Linked DNA regions of Caenorhabditis elegans. The protein of the gene in region 2 purifies or fractionates together with the protein of the main gene of each other region. This does not show direct contact. Each region holds a gene or a part of one and is shown on either strand. Other genes may lie near its edges.

The links. The genes of interacting proteins can lie anywhere in the genome.
Region 1: the proteins of orc-2 (region 2) and cku-80 fractionate together in Caenorhabditis elegans (co-fractionation; one large-scale study listed by BioGRID). This does not show direct contact.

What each region holds. Positions count from the first base shown.
Region 1 is NC_003281.10:4,417,131-4,425,099, forward strand, and holds cku-80 (ATP-dependent DNA helicase II subunit 2), read left to right. Parts: upstream 1-2,717; 5' UTR 2,718-2,725; coding exon 2,726-2,866; intron 2,867-2,913; coding exon 2,914-3,109; intron 3,110-3,158; coding exon 3,159-3,336; intron 3,337-3,382; coding exon 3,383-3,466; intron 3,467-3,788; coding exon 3,789-3,861; intron 3,862-3,911; coding exon 3,912-4,146; intron 4,147-4,191; coding exon 4,192-4,322; intron 4,323-4,767; coding exon 4,768-5,083; intron 5,084-5,135; coding exon 5,136-5,196; intron 5,197-5,241; coding exon 5,242-5,327; intron 5,328-5,380; coding exon 5,381-5,799; intron 5,800-5,851; coding exon 5,852-5,984; intron 5,985-6,037; coding exon 6,038-6,126; 3' UTR 6,127-6,245; downstream 6,246-7,969. Other genes in the region: pdcd-2 (MYND-type domain-containing protein), read right to left, coding at 158-309, 513-531; R07E5.19 (Vacuolar ATPase assembly integral membrane protein VMA21 homolog), read right to left, coding at 540-682, 757-922; R07E5.7 (vacuolar ATPase assembly integral membrane protein VMA21), read right to left, coding at 1,369-1,523, 1,570-1,884, 1,931-2,036; C28A5.6 (Protein kinase domain-containing protein), read right to left, coding at 6,665-6,864, 6,911-7,238, 7,532-7,969.
Region 2 is NC_003280.10:10,871,465-10,880,081, reverse strand, and holds orc-2 (Origin recognition complex subunit 2), read right to left. Parts: upstream 6,152-8,617; 5' UTR 6,149-6,151; coding exon 5,973-6,148; intron 5,339-5,972; coding exon 4,769-5,338; intron 4,714-4,768; coding exon 4,614-4,713; intron 3,855-4,613; coding exon 3,598-3,854; intron 3,061-3,597; coding exon 2,986-3,060; intron 2,883-2,985; coding exon 2,768-2,882; 3' UTR 2,148-2,767; downstream 1-2,147. Other genes in the region: copz-1 (putative coatomer subunit zeta), read right to left, coding at 6,391-6,541, 6,596-6,821, 6,872-6,959, 7,018-7,089, 7,153-7,170; cyn-4 (Peptidyl-prolyl cis-trans isomerase 4), read left to right, coding at 7,476-7,554, 7,610-7,730, 7,777-8,563.

The DNA of each region.
Region 1 (7,969 bases), on a different chromosome or scaffold from region 2:
TTTCCGTATTGCTGTTTTATTTTCCATATTTTTGTAGTAAAATAAAACAATGATCAAATAAAATTAATTTCTGAACGCTGCAATACGGAAAAGTTGGCAAAATTGAAGATTTAGCTAAAATTAGGTCAGTTTCAAAGTTCTGTTATAAAAAACCTACGTTGCACAACAAATCTGCGGATTTTGGAAGATTTTTTGGATTCAACCATGACGGTTTTCCTCCTATTTTTCCGAGTGGAAGAAATTGCGAACGTAGACGATACAGATCATCTGGCTCGAATTGAACTCCGAATCCCAAGTTTACTGGTTCATCTGAAAACGAGCTATTTTCATGCTGCAAACAAGATAAAGAGAACGGGCAGGAGACTTAGTGTGTATTTTCTTAAATTTATTGGTTAAGTCCGACTTGAAGAAATTTGTCAAAGAATTTAAATTTAAATATTTCGATTGATCAATATACAAGAAATAAGGCATTATTGATTGGGGAAAGTGAAACAGAAAAAATTGCCGAGAACCATGAATGTCGGTTTGCATTGTGTCTTCTAGTCTTGCTTGTTTTCACGCTTCTTGCGATCTTCTTGTTTGGTAGCAGCGAAGAGCCAGATACCCAAAACCACGTGGACGAGGACGACAGCAATGATCGCAGAATAGGTCAAAGCGTCGTTTGCACTGACACCCAGGAGCCCTGAAATAGGAGAGAAAATGGAATTTTATTCATTTTTCAAAAATTAAAAATAATCGGTAGAACAAGCTCTGTACCTTCGAAAAAGAATTGTTTCAAGAGGAACATAGAAGCAAGAGGAACGATGAGAATCACAAGACTATACGTGAGAAGGTTCTTGACAGCGGATTGGACTTCCTGATCACGAAAGTTCGGGAACAGAGTTGCCATTGTTGATGGTTCGGATGAAGAGGAAGTGGTCATTTCGCTGCAAACAACTCGGTATATCCATGGGTTTAAAATCAAATAATTATTATTGGAATAAAAAATAAGATTATTAAGGGGAGAATAGGTTCATACCAAGGTTTCTGGGAGAATCTTACCGAAAATTTGTTTTTTTTTAATTAAAAAAAATCCCGGATATCCCGAGTTGAATCCAGCGGCGCCAAAAGTAAAGGAAATCAAGAGATACAAAATTTGACAATTTCAAATTAAAATATAGTAAAGCGAAAACTACGCTTCAGAGAGAAAAATTCAATTAGTAAGGAAAAAATATAACAAAAAAAATTTATTCGTTATGTACAAAAGCATCTAGCCAGAGGCACTAATATAAATAGAACGGGTCGAAGTGATCACAAATAAGTAAACGAGGTCCAAACGGGAAGTGAATGTTCAGGAGGAATTTTTGAAGAAGATAATACACAGCCACGCTATTCTTTCTTTTTCTCTGCTCTGAGTTTGTCTTCGGCGTCTTTCTCTTCTTTCCATGCAATATAACAGAAAGCGGCAGCAATGAGAATTACGACCAAGGCAGCACATACTCCGGCATAAAGCATGGCTTCTGCTGGTGGTAAATGGAAGTGGTCTGAAACAAATTATCTATAAAATTGATTCTGGAAAAGTCCACTTACCGATGAATACCCAATAATACAAGCTTGCCATAACAAGCAGTGGAAGTGTGAACATCATTGCAGAAAATGCGATGAGCAGAGTTATAGCTCTATTCGAATGCTCTGCTGTGTAGAATTGTTCTTGATCGGGTCGAATCGGTGCTTTCAGTGCCTCTTCTACTAGGTCCTCACCGTCTTTCTCTTTCGGCCGATTTGCGTCGTCTTTAATTGACTGATCAACGAATGGAAGCTTCATCTCCTCTTCAACTTCATCATCTTCCTCTTTCGCCGATTTGTCAGCATTGTCATCCTCGTTTTCACTGACAGATTGACTACCTAAACTATTAATTCACTAAACAAAAAACATATATTTGTAAAATACCATTTTTCTTTTCATCAACAGCTTCAAAACTATCTGAAGTGCTGGATTTTCGTTCAGCTCCGTCGATCAGCTCGAAGTCTTGCTCCTGTTCTGGAGTATCGCTCATTCTGGAAAGATTTAAATACAACCGAGGAACCAGAAGAGCGCATGAAAATATAGAGCGTGTAATTTAACGTCAGTTATTGACAGAGAAAATAGAATTACGAAAGACCAAATCGGGCAACGAGGAAAACGTTTAACACAAACACAACACTGAAAATAAGCAAGAAAAGGAGGAAGTTATCGGAAAACCGAAGAACTTTCAACTTCGGAAAGAACCGTTTAATTTATGTTTAAAATCAAACAAAAAATTCCCGAAACATCCCTTTTAAACTTTGATTTTCACGAAAAACAACGAATGACCGAAAAATGTGATCAATCTCTGAGAGTGTGCACTTTTGCGTGACGGTGAACTGTCCGCGTGCACCAGATTCGACGCGCAAAATAATCGGCGCGAGGTTCGAACGAACGTTCGTGAATTTGTGGGAGCGGTTTTTAATGTTTAAAAATCAGTTTTGGTTTATTTTATTTGAAAAAAAAAACGATAAAAGCTATATTCCAGCAGTATCTAAAATGATCTTCTTTTAATATTCTAATTTTAATGTTTTAAAATTCATTTTTCGCTGCAGCAAAAAGTTGGTGTTTGCGTACAAAACCCGCGCCAGTCTTGAAAAACGCACGCATTATTTATTCACATGTTTCGCAATATTTCCATATGAACTTCTCAACATCACCAATTTAAATTAAGTTACAGGAATGCCGCCTAAAAAGGTATCTCCCGGGATTACCGTAATCCTTATCGACGCAGGATCCAATATGTCTGTGAAAGACACTGAAACTGGAAAAAGTGCATTTGAAAATGCGATCAATGCTGCAGATTGGATTGTTTCGAGAAAAGTGATACTAAAATTCGAGAAAACTTTCAAAGAAAAAATTGTTTTCAGCTATTTTCCAAAGATCCCGAGCTCTTCTCAGTGATGGCCTACAATTTGGATCCGAAAGAATACAAAACAGAAGTTGGCGGTCAAACATTTAATGGAGTCCAGTGTCAAAATGAAAAGTTTACACCAGCCAGCTTTGATCATTTAAAGTTTATCACAAAGGAATTGCAGCAAAATACAGAAATGATAGATCCAAATTGTGAGAGAATATCCAAGACAAATTCAAAAATCCTATTTATTTTTTTCAGTTTTCAAAGGTGTTCTGGGAGCCGTCGCAGTGCTAAAAGATCAAATCGAATCGTATCCGAATCCATCAGGAATCACGTTGATTGTACTGACAAATGGATTAAACGAGAACATTCGACAAGAAAATTTCGATCTTTTAGTTGAAGCCGTTAGTGAAAGTAATGCAGATTTGATGATAATGTAAGATTTTTCCATTTTAGCGTTGAAAAAAAAATACTTATTCCAGTGGAATCGATGAAAATCCAGAATATCCTGCTTCTCGAGTTGCAGAATTGGCAGAAACATTAGAAGGAAGAACATATACTTTTCAGTGAGTTTTTAAAAATAAAATTGGCGATTTTTGCGCCAAAAATACGGAATCTAGACACGCTTTTTGCGAAATGTTCATCGATTTTCCATAATTTTTCGTTAAAAAAAACTGAAATAATGGTTTTTAAAAACACATAAATATTATTTGAGAAATCTTTAAAAATTCCACAACAACGAAAATTTAAAATAACAGTACCCTTTAAAGGAACACGCTTGTTTGTATCTAACAATAATTGTCGTGTCAAGACCGGCTACCGTATTTTCGGCGCAAATACTATAACATTTCGCGCCTGGAGTAATATCATCATAATTACAATTTCCAGAAACGTCGCAAAGATGCTCTCCACCTTCCAGGCTCGTCAGAAATCCGAGAGAAAATACAATAAAATGTGGGATGTAAGAGTTTTTGAAGAAATCTAATCTAATACAATAAAAATAACGTTCAGATTGCTCCTGGAATCCATCTCCCGGTGATTTTTGCTCTAAAATCTGAAAAATCTACAGCACTACTCAAGTTCAAAAATGCAGATTCCGAAGGAAATGAAATGGTTCGATTGGAACAAATGCACGTGGAAACTGACGAAGTTGCTCCGAAAGATGAATTCAAATCGCCGGTTCTGGAAGAGAAACCGAAATTTCAGAAAAACTTTAAACCCGTTGAAAATATAAAAACTATGCATGGTAGTGAAATTCTAAATTTTTTAAAATCTATTATTAATGCGTCAGGCTACAATTTCGGAAAATCGGTTATCATGATGGACCCAGAATATCTTAAAGAAAAATACAATGATCATAATTTCAACGAGGGACAGACTGGTGGAGTGCTAAAACTGATACAGTTCACGAAAAGAGCAAATGTAAGATATGACATGGTCTCGCAACGACGGAGAATGTTAAATTAGAGGCGACGAAAAAAGGGTGTGCGCCTTTAAAGAGTACTGTAATTTCAAAATTTCGTTTCCGTTGAAATTTCATCGATTTTTCACAGTTATAACACGATATTTTGAAATTTGTATTTTAAAATAGACAAATCATGGTCATTTTTTTGAGAAAAAAACCGAAAAACTAATCACGAAATTTTACCAAAAAAATCTCATTTCAGATCCAGTTGTCACAATAATAATTCCGACCAAAAACAAATTTCTCCGAAAAAATCGGTGTCTTACCTCTCTTCTAAAATTAGCATTTTTGAAAAAAAAATAACGTTTTTTTTACTTTTTGGTTCAAAATCACAACAAAAGAAAGATAGCCATTCATAAATCGCAAAATTTCGCATCTCATAATTGTAATAATTATTTCTAGATTCTCGACTCATATCTCCTCGATGCCAGCGCGAAAACAGTACTTCCTGCTCTCAATTCACCAAAATCAGGTGCCACCAAAGCTACCGTATCCCTCATCGAAGCAATGCTTTCACTTCGAGTCGCTGCCATTTGTCGATACACATTCCATGCAAAATCTCATGTGCAACTCATTGCTCTTCTACCACATCAAGATGAAGAAACTGGCGTTTTCTATCTAAGATCAGTGAAATTACCATTTTCCGATGATATGAGAACATTGAAATTCCCGAAATTCTCATTTGACGAGGAAGATGAAGATTTGAATAAGCCTACTGGTATATATTCATTCAGACTTTTGAATTTAACAAAAAACTAATTAAATTTCAGTAGCTCAACTCTCCGCTGTAGATGACCTTATCGATTGTATGCAATTACAAGAAGATGAAATGTTTGAATTTCAGAAAAATATTGTCCAATAAAAAATTGTTTTCAGCTCTTCACTGGTCGAAGGTGGAATGAGTGATCCAAAATTGCAGATGCAATGCCATTTTCTCAAAAGTTTAGTTCTACATCCAAACGGTACATATTCTTGTGAATTCGGTTTAAATGAAATAATATTATTGTCATTTCAGATACCTTCGAAAATCATTCCAATCGAACCAATCAAATTCTCGATCAAATAATGGCACCGAAACGCAGAGTCGAAGCAGAACATCCGGAGATTTTCCAGAAGCTTGGCCGCGAATTCAATCTGCAACCAATTCAGAAAACCAAACGAGAACGGGTTACGGTAGAGCCTGAAGATCTGCAGACAATGATATCCGAATGGACGGAGAAAAAACAGAATATGACACAACCAGATGAGGTAGATGATGGTGCAAGTCAAAAGAAAAAGAAAAAACCAAATGCAAAGAAATTGACGAGAAAAGAAGAAGTTCAAATGGATATCATGGAAGATGGCGGAGCTAGTCGTGTTTGCTCGAAAATTCTTGAAATGATTTCAAATACTTGCAAATTTCAACCAAATGGAGCAGTTACTGAGTTCTTTACGGTATTTTCAAAAATAGATTTTCAAAATAAAACTTTAAATTTTAAATTTACAGCTTCTCGTCAATGAATTGAATGTTATTCGCTCAGTTTTCGTTGAAAACTCAAAATGTGACGAGTTCAATGAACTTCTCAAGAAGTTGAAAGACGAAGAAGACTTTGAACCATTTGCTGAAGTTCTTTCTGAAGGTACTACCATTTCATGTCCACTTTTCTGCCATTCCTCATTCAACAAATTTCAGAAAAATCATGCAATCCAATTGATTCTTCCGAAGTCAGCATGTCAGAAGTCTCCGTCGCCAATGCTGCCGAATTCTGGGAAGAAGATTGAGCATTTTTATTTTATTTTATGGCAATGTATCTCAAATAACTAACTACAATCATTTTAAAGCTGTGAATGAACTGAAATGAAAATAAAATCATACTACCGTATCATGGTGATCACCCAAAGAACGCTTTTTAATGTGAAAGTCAGCATTTTTTTTATTTAGTACGTACAGTGAGAGGAAAAAGTAGGGAAAAGCAAGATGTAGGCTCGTAGGTAGGCGAAAATGTGATGTACCCAAGTGTATCGGTAGGCAGACTGGTAACAATAACAGAGAAGTACTCAAACATCGATCTTAATGTCTACCGACTTGTGTGCATAATGCATGCCTATAGGTATACCTATGCACCTCCCACAGGTTTCAATGCCTAGTTTATCGCCTACATCTAGCCAATGTGCCTGCCTACTATCTTTGACGGAGTTTGTGCCACTAAAATGACGACTCAGGTATTCACAAATTTAAGAAACAAGTTCAGTTTATTCAAATCTTCAATTTCAAGTAATAGATCAAGTTCCGATGGAAGTTTTAATCTTTCTCCTTTTTTCACTTCTTCTCGTATGCTTCCAGTTTATCGAGTTGATCATCTGGGCTTCTATCGCCGGTTGTCTTCTCCCGCTCACTTGACACTTCCCAACCGATTTCCATCTCTCGTTTCTCAAGTCTTTTAATAATTGCCAGATTCTCCTCAGAATCAATATCAGAGAGTGGTTCGACTTCAGATCCAGACGAGAGGGCCACTTCATCTATAACAAGAGTATGACCAACAATTACAATAATAATAAAAAATACCTTTAACAGAAAGAGCAACTAGATTCTCATAGTTTCTAAAATGTTCTCTTTCCTCTTGATCCAAGTCTTCGAAAAACTCAACTTCAGAATCCTCTTCAGACTTCAGACTCCATTTGAACTTCCTCTTCTCTTCTCCTTCATCAGTTGCACACGTAGACGAAGTCCACGTGGATAACGATGTGGCAGACGTAGAATCATATGAGCCTGTCATTGCCGACTGTGTACCAGTAAAATCATGTCTCATTCCCAACAAAAACTCGCGGGTGATCAGTCCGCGGCTGACCTTTTTTCCTCTTCCCGGCTTCGGCTTCGGTGGTTCAGATAATTTCTGAAAATTATAAATTTTCAAAGACTCGTTTATATTATCGCGACGCAGAAACTATAGTTTTGAAATCAAAGTTGGTACGATTGCGCTCCAATGAAAACTCTGCTCACCGGAATTTATATATCGTTAGGTATTGGCGTCAAAAACGTAAATTAAAATTTTCTACTAAAAATTTGAATTTCCGGATTTGCCGCCAATAAATAGTTTCATATTGTCGTGGAGCGCAATTGCACGCACTTTGCTTTCAAACTGCGGCATTCTCTATTTACGTCTCGAGATGGATCCATAATACTTACACTCTTCTCTTCTTCAGTTTTGTTCTCCTTTCTATCCTGCTTCTGTTTCTCCGGATCACCTTTCGCTCGACCTTTTTTATTCTTGACAACATCGGAAGGAGTTGAACGTCTTTCGACACCAATCATCGCCTCCGTTGCACCATCATCATCCTTTTCACTCGACGGATTCCTTTCTGCGGATTTTTCCTTTCTCTCAGCTGATTTCCCAGCCTTCTTCGGTTTCTTTCTCCCATCAGATGAACTAGCTTCTGACATTGGCGAAGAGGTCTGTTCGGTGCAAGAAGATGTTTCAGCGCTTGACCTCTCACAAGAATCCTTCTTCTTCTCACTCTTTGATTTTCTTGCTGCTGCACTTTTCTGTTCATTCTCCTCATCCGATGCCTTCAAATTATCGTGATCCGATTCATCAGCTGCATGCCAATGACCTTCTACTAGATC
Region 2 (8,617 bases):
TATTTATAACTTTGTTGCGCTAGAAACTGTTGCAAAATATTCATACCGGCCTTCAGGCAGACAAGGGACAAAAAAGACTAGCCTAAGTCTAAGACTAAGCCTGAGCAGAAGCCTGAGCATAAGCCTAAGACTAAGCCTAAGCCTGAGCCTTAGCCTAAACCTAAACCTAATCCTAATCCTAAGCCAAATATTAAGTCTAAGCCTACGCCTTAGCCTAAGCCTGAGCCTAAGCCTACTTCTAAGCCTTGGCCCAATGCCAAACACAAGCACAAACACCAAACTTTTAGCCAAAAATCACAAAATAGACCGGCTTTCAGGCAGACAAGGGACAAAACATGAAAAGAGGAAAACTATGACCGGAAAAAAACCTTGATAGTGTGTTTGTTCGAGAAAAATCGCTATTAAAAAGGTGCATAATGAGGCGTGAAAAAGTAATAGAATAAAGAGTGAGGAATCTCCATTGTGCTTCTTCTTCATTGCCTTATTCTCTTGGAGCTCCGCCCCTTTGTCCAATTTCCCAAAAGTCATAAACGGCTCCTCTTCAAAACATGGTTTAATTTTGATTTGGCGGGGCGAAAGCTTCAAATTCTGATTGAATTCAGGCGGTGCGAAGAGATGAGGGCATGAAGGGGGACCACGATGGAATTAAATAGGAAATCACACATTATTCAAATGTCTTTTGTGTGTGTATGAGTCTGTGTCATCAGCAATATGGAATCAAAAGAAGGCGAGAAGGATAACTCGCACTTTTGGAAGCTTCAGATAATGAATAGATGAATGCATTTTTGATGGAATCCCGTTATGGGAGAGAGGAATTTTTGGATTTGGAAGCTTAAAGATCGGAGATTTCTTTTTCAGCGCGTGTTTTTGGACTATTAGCGAAGGCCTGGGCTTCCGGTTTCTGTGAACCAAAAATCAGAAAAAAATAATTGTCAGGACTGTTAAAAGAGACATAACACTGTAAAAATTGAACTTTTGGTCGACAATCGGGGAATTGAAGGGTCTCACCACGAAAAATTGAATTTAGAAAATAATAAGACTATAACAAATTTGCTTCAACTTCCGACTAGATTGAGAAAGCCTTTCGGAACTTTTCGCTTCAAGACCCATCCTGATAGATTCATGGCTCTTTTATACCATTTGCGCGTGACGGTTTTGGATTAAAATATGATGAGGGGTCGAACAGGAACTCACGTGCTCATGTAAAGGTGGAGCAGCGCCAGCGGGGATTTTTTGTCCAAACTCATTTTTAATAAGCAAGTACAATTTAGAACTTTTAGAGCAATTTCGAACGCCCACACGTGGGTTAATACAAATATTTGAAAGCTTTATTAAAGTACGAAACTTTGTAGAAAAAAGTTTTTTTTTTCAGTTTCTGCCAAAACGAAGAGAGAAAGTTGAAAAGTACAAGTGCAAAGAAATTCAAAATTCATAGAAGAATGACACAAAAACTGACACTTATATAGAGGGTTCTCTGACAATTTTTGATCTTGACCATTTTTGATGTCTACGCGTAAACGCGCTCTAAGGCCAACGGAACGATCCGCCCCAGTAGGATGGGTCTCGTTAGGTAATATTAGGAAAACCGGGAATTCGAAATTCGAATGTTTAAATCATTTTTCGACGATTTTTTAAATATGTTTTACATTGGTTTTAGTAATTTTTATATGGGTCTTGATGTTTTAAAAATTCATATGAAGTTTTTGAATTTTATTATATCAATATTGGCATAAAAACCATTGAAACAACGGAAAATATAATAAAAAATAAACGAGACTATTAGGAAAAGTTTGAATTCCCGGTTTTCTCGCCAAACACCTAACGAGACCCATGGTTCCGGGGCGGGGCATTTCCAATTGGCCGTGGAGCGCGTTCTGCGTCCCCATAATATTGAGATCCAGTTCCTGTAGAGTTCGAAATTCTCTTGTTCCTGAGAGCGATAATATGAAAAAAAAACAAAAAAAAGTTTAAAAATGCTCATCGCATTCAAATATTCAAAGTCCTTCTCGTCCTTGTTGCCTAAATACTGATTGACTTGAGTCAGCAAGCAAAAAAAAAGAGAAAAGGAACATGATATACTGCTCTTCTGAGCCTAGTGGGCCGGAAGTGCTCATCGTTAATCTCTGCGAGCTTCTATGGAGACATTTTTGACAGAAAAAAGTGACACAAAAACTTCCAAGACACACAAAAATTTTGTCATTTCAAAAAGCTTCTATCAAAAAAGTTAGGGGAGAATGTGCGAGGAAAATCCGAATTTTCCAATTAAAAAAGCTAGAACAAAGGCACCTGTGAGCCCATTTTTGGGGGGAAGGCGAGCAGGAAAGAGTATCATATTACTACATCCATGAAACTCTAGGGAGAGGATTTGGTTTTTGATGGTGAGAGAGGGAAAACTTGGAAAATGAGATTCATTCAAATATGGGAATGTGAAACTGATAGTGAGAAACTGAAAATAATTGAGAAATCGTGAAGAAAAAACCGAGGGGGAAATGAGATTTTTGAAAAGGTACACAAAATTGGTATTACGGTAGATAAAGGTTTCAATTGATATATTTGAAAATGAAAATTATTGCCTTAAATATGAGCGTTCAGATGAGAGTAAGTGAAGATTGAGGTTTCAATTGAAGTAAAAAAAAATGGGATGAAGAAGCATCGACGGACGGACGGGGGGCGCAGAGTCAACAAATAAAACAATTGAAGGTAAATACATTGAGTCAAAAGGAGGCAGAGTGTGTTCATTTTTGAGGTCCTCCAGCAGTAGCAGCAGCTACTCGTCTTTCTTTTCGTCTAACGGCATGTTCTTCGATTCGAGAAATTCGGTCACTAATCGTAATTCGACAATGCCCGACAGCTGATCGTTTCCGTCATCACCACGGGTCCACCTGGAGAAATTTTGGAATTGAAATTGAAATATTTGAATAAGCAAACGACATCTGGTTGGAAGATGAGAATTTATCTATTTGGGGGGGGGGGGGGGATACTCACTTCAAAACCCGATGATCCTTGAATTCGACAAGTTGGGTTCGAAGAGCAGCGTCAGTTGAAGCAATGAAATCATCTCTGGAATTTTTAGGATTTTTTAAATCGAAAAACAAAAAAAATTATTTCAAAAAATTACCAATTTTGAAGTTTTTTCAGATTTTTTTCGGTTTTTTTGAACGAAAATTAGTGTTTTTGGGTTTTTTTTTCAAATTTTTTGGTTGTGCACAAAAAAAACCGAAAATCGAAAAATATTTCGGGGCATCCTTTGTGCAAGCTTGCAGGTTTTTCGGTTTGGCCTTTAAAAAATTGAAAAATCGAAAAAAATTAGATTTTTTTGTCGGTATTTTCAATTAAAAAAATTTCCCGCTCTGCCCAAAACCAAAAACATCAAAAATAATTAGTTTTTCAGTTTTTTTTGCTCAAAAACTCTAAAAATCAAAGTTTTTTAAAGGTTGCTATTATTTATGATTTTTTCGGTTTTTTAAACAAAGTTTCCGTTTTTTGGTTATGCTTAAAAAAGGGGAAAAATCGAATTTTTTTTTCAAATATTCCCAGTTTTGAATTTTTTGCTTTAAGAAAACTGAAAAATCGAAAAAATTTATTTTTTCCACTCACTTTGCCGCATTGAACAAATCCCAGAATTTGACAGGCTTCTTGGTGTCAAAGTACATTTGGAAAAAGAGACGGAATAATTTTTGTGAATTGACGGCAAGAGATTTCCAGAACACATCAAGCGATGACATTGTATGAGAGGATTGATTCGAACGAGCATCAAGACCAAGAAGACGAGAATCTCCAGTCATTAATTCTTGAAGTGGAATTTCGAAGGTGTTGATTGTGATGTGAACGAATGAGAGTGATGATAGTTGACGCTGAAATAAAAAAAGATAAATAACTGGAAATAACTTTTCTAATTTTTAAAATATTTTTGAACCTCTGGAATATTCAAATACAAATTATAAAAACACATTTAGAATAGAAAAATTACAATTTTTTTTGTTACATTTCTAAAATTATACCATGCCTTTATGAATAAAAAGTTTTTAATTCAAAATTATTTCAAAAAAGTTTATAATAAATATTTTTCATTTTAGAACCATATTTTTGGCATTAATAAAAATGTTTTTTAAGAATGTTTGTTTTTTCTAATTTTTCTTGTTTTTTTTTAAAGTAGAAAAAATTTGTTTGATTTTTCCGGAAAAATTGAGAATTTCAAAAGAAAATTGACTAAACATTTTTACAATATATTTTATTTTATTTGAAAGCTATTTTTCGGAAAATCTAAAAAAAAATCTAAAAATCGTTATTTTCAAAAATTTAATGTTTTTAGTGGGTTATAATTCGAGTAAATGCCATCAACTGTAGCGATTTTTTTAAAATTTTTTTGCCATAAATTTGACTGTTTTTCAAAATTGTTTTTTTTTCGATTTTTTGCCGTTTTCAGATTAAATATTAATTCGATTTTTTTAAGATTTTCTTATTTTCTCTTATTTTTCTCTCTGTCAAATTTTTATTATATTTATGAACAAAAAACATACTAAAATATATAAATTTCTACAGAAAAAAATAATTTTAAATAACAAAAAAATATAATTTTCTGTTTTTCGAAAATTAAAATTTTAGATACCCACCGAATTCCAGATGAACGTCGAGTAAATGTGATCAACTGTAGCAATCAATTTCACCGAATCCCGATTCTCAAGAAGTTCGCAAAATGCTTCTTGATCACTTCTGAAATTAATTAAAATTAATTTTTTATACATAAATAAAAGCGAATTCCCCTCACCTCCAATCAGGAGCTTCAATATTATCAATGATAAGAATCAACTGTTGGCTATTCATTTTTCTGCGAATAGATCGAGCCCAACTAATCGTAGATTGGCCTCTCTTCACATTACAATTCAGCTTCATATTCTCATTGATAGCTCCAAGAAGAACTTTTACATTGAGCCCATCTTTCCGTGCATCCACTCTCATATATGTATAATCGGATAGCTCATTCTCAAATTCTGTGAGAACATCACGCTTCGAACCGACACCGTGCAAAAGAATATTAAATCCAGCTGCTAGGTAAAGCTTCCATTTTCCGAAATCATTATCCGCGAGATGCTCCAATCGTTTTTCGAATTCCGTGTTATCTTTTTTGGTAATATAATTTCGAAGTCCAGGGAGATCACATTTTGTGAAATCAGTGATAGCATTACTGATCTCATCGTCTTCCTCAATTTCTTCAGTATTTCCATTTCCAGCACGTCTTCCACGACGGGATTTCGCATTATTCATTCGTTCTGACGCCGATTTTCCTTGCATAAAGTAATTTTCGATTGCTGATTGAGCCATTGATACAGTTTCATCCCTGGAAAAATGATTGATTTGCTTCGAAAATGTACTTATTTTTAGCTAGATGGAAGATTTTCTAATTTTTGCGCCAAAATTCCCGGTCTCGGCACGACAATTTTTTTTGAATTACAAACGGGTGTGCGCCTTTAAAGAGTACTGTAGTTTCAAACTGTGGAATTTTTATCGATTGTTCGTTAAAATTCATGCGCTTTTAATTATCCTAGTTTTTTGTTTATTTAAAAAAAATTTTAACAAAAAACAATGAAAAATCGATGGAAATTCCGCAACGAAATTTTGGCCTACCATTATTAAAGGCGCACCGAATCATTCAGATGAGTCTCGGCGCGCGAAAAACTTTTAAATTTTATGGTAGTTTTTTACTTTCATTTTTCAAGAAATTACTCCGTTTTTTGTATTTAGTTCTCCTTCTATTATTCTATTAAAAAACCGGAAAAATTTAAAGAAAAAGAAAATACTACGATACTGTTTTCCGCGCAGAGACCCGCCTGAATAGATCTGTGCGCCTTTAAGAACACATATTGTGATAATACAGCACTCCTTATAGACGCACCCCCGTTTTGTTTTCAACAAAAATTGCCGTGTCGAGACCCGGTTTTGCTCAAGAATTCATCTGGATAATAGATACATACTCGAAGCCCAGTTGTTCCAAATCTTCTTCTAAATTTGATTGCAAATTTCTAGAAGCATTCTCTTTTCCATTCGTCTTTTTCTGTCTGGATCCTTCTTTTTCTGGAGTCGATTTTTTCACAGGAACGGCGGCACTGGGCTGGACAGTTGCTCGTTTCAAAATTTTTGGCCGTGGCATTTTCTGAAATTAAAATTGAAAAATAGATATTTAGATTCATGCAGGAAATGTTAAGCTTTAAACTGAAAATATAGTTAGGCGTTAAGAAAACGAACCAAAAACTCAACAAAAACAGCACAAAATCAACAATTTTTACAATGAAAACACCATTTTATCCGAGGTTTATTCATTTTAATTCACAAAAGAGTATTGGAGAGATTATAAATATCACATTTTAAATTAAATAATTTATAGAATTCCATTTACTTGAGAAGAGACCATTTGAACTGCTCGTTGGCAGATTTCATGAACGAGAAGCCGATTTGTGATACGGATTGATCGGAGAATGAGACTTCGTCGGATTTGAGAGCGGTTCTTTGGACGACAGCCTGGGCGTCAGTTTCCATGATAATTCTGTAATAATTATTTTAAATCAGTTGAATACTTTTAGAAATAAAAAAAAATAACCCTTCATCACAGATTTCGTCAATAATCAGCATGATAGTGTCCATGGAATCGATGAGAGCCTTCTTCTCGACGTTTTTGCGAAGAACGACAGACACAGCATCGTAGAGACAGGTGAGAGTTGCGTCGAGGAAAAGCTCATTCTCGCGGGTCGATCCGAGCACGTAGAAGTACAGATCAACGTTCGAGCGGTACAAGCAAGTCACTCCGTCGAGAAGCAGGATATCGGCTTAAAATGTTTAATTTTTATTGTTTTCATCAAAAAAAAATCAGCCAAACCTGAAGTGTTGCGGGAAGTTTTCGAGAAGAGACTTTTCTCGAAAGCTTTTTGCTCCTTGACAGTTCCAAAGGTTGTACGGTCGTAGTACTGAAAATCGATATTTTTTCGAGTTTTTTGTATGGTAATTGTGAAATAAACGACAAACCTTGGCAAGAACACGGTTTCCATCCTGATCAAGAATCACAATTCCTTTGATACTGTACAGAGAAGTTGGATTCTGAAATTTCGCTTTTTAGTTAAAAAAAAAAAACTTCAATAATAAGCTGCAAATGAAACTTACAGTGTCAAAGTCTGCCATCTTATTGCAAATCCTCTCTTTTGCTAATATTACCTATAAAATTAAAAATTTATCTCTGAAAAACAATTTAAATGGAGGAAAAACATTGAGAAACAAGATAATCCACGTCAATAGTCAATGAAATTGAGCGCGTAAATCGACATGTGATCGTGGCGAGACCCGAGGTGGCTGGCGGCCGCCGGCCTAGGTTTTCGTGTAGATTTACGAGCCGATTTGTTTTCGCAATTTTTAACAATCGGCATTTTAATTAAGCTTAATAACTACATAAATGTAACTAGTATTTATTTGTATTATTTTCAGATAAAATGGGAAAAAAGCAACATCAGAAAGATAAACTCTATCTGACCACTTCTGAATGGAAATCGATTGGAGGACATAAAGATGGTTTTTATTTAAACACGAGTTATAAATAAAAACAAGATTTAATTTCATATTTCAGATACTGGAACAAGACTCCAAAGAGCACAGTTCAAAAGGTTACCCATCAACCATTGCTCGCTGTCACTTCTACCGTTTGAAGACCCAGTTTGCGCAAGATCAGGAGAAATTTTCGATTTAACGTAAATTTCTGTTTATTTTTTTTACTTTTTATTAAAAAATTTTCAGTGCTATCGTTCCTTACTTGAAGAAGCATGGCAAAAACCCGTGTACAGGAAAACCGTTGGTTGCCAAGGATCTAATCCACTTGAAATTCGATAAAGGAGAAGATGGAAAGTTCCGATGCCCAGTTACATTCAGAACATTCACGGACCACAGTCATATTCTGGCCATCGCTACTTCCGGAAACGTCTATTCTCATGAAGCCGTGCAAGAATTGAATTTAAAAAGAAATCATCTCAAGGATCTTCTAACCGATGTTCCGTTCACAAGAGCTGATATAATTGATCTTCAAGACCCAAATCATTTGGAAAAATTCAATATGGAGCAGTTTCTACACGTGAAGCTTGATTTAAAGACGTCAGAAGAGATTAAAAAAGAAAAAGATGCAATGAAAGATCCAAAATTCTACATTCGACGAATGAATAATGCTTGCAAATCAGTTCTTGATCAATTGGATAAGGAATATGTCCCAAAGAAGAGCTCCACAGAAACTGATGAAACTGCCGATGAGATCAATGCAGCACATTATAGTCAAGGAAAAGTCGCAGCTGGATTCACATCCACTGTAATGGCTCCAGTTACAAGCAATAAAGCAGCTGTTTTGGATAATGATACAGTTCGGTACAGCCGAGTTAAGAAAAATGCTTTTGTGCGGCTTGTTACAAATTTTGGGCCATTGAATCTGGAATTATTCGCGCCGAAAGTTCCGAAGGCCTGTGAAAACTTCATCACACATTGTTCGAATGGATATTATAATAACACCAAATTTCATCGGTTAATTAAAAACTTTATGGTAAATTTATTATAAAAATAGTTAAAGTTATAACAAAAAATAATTAAAAATTTC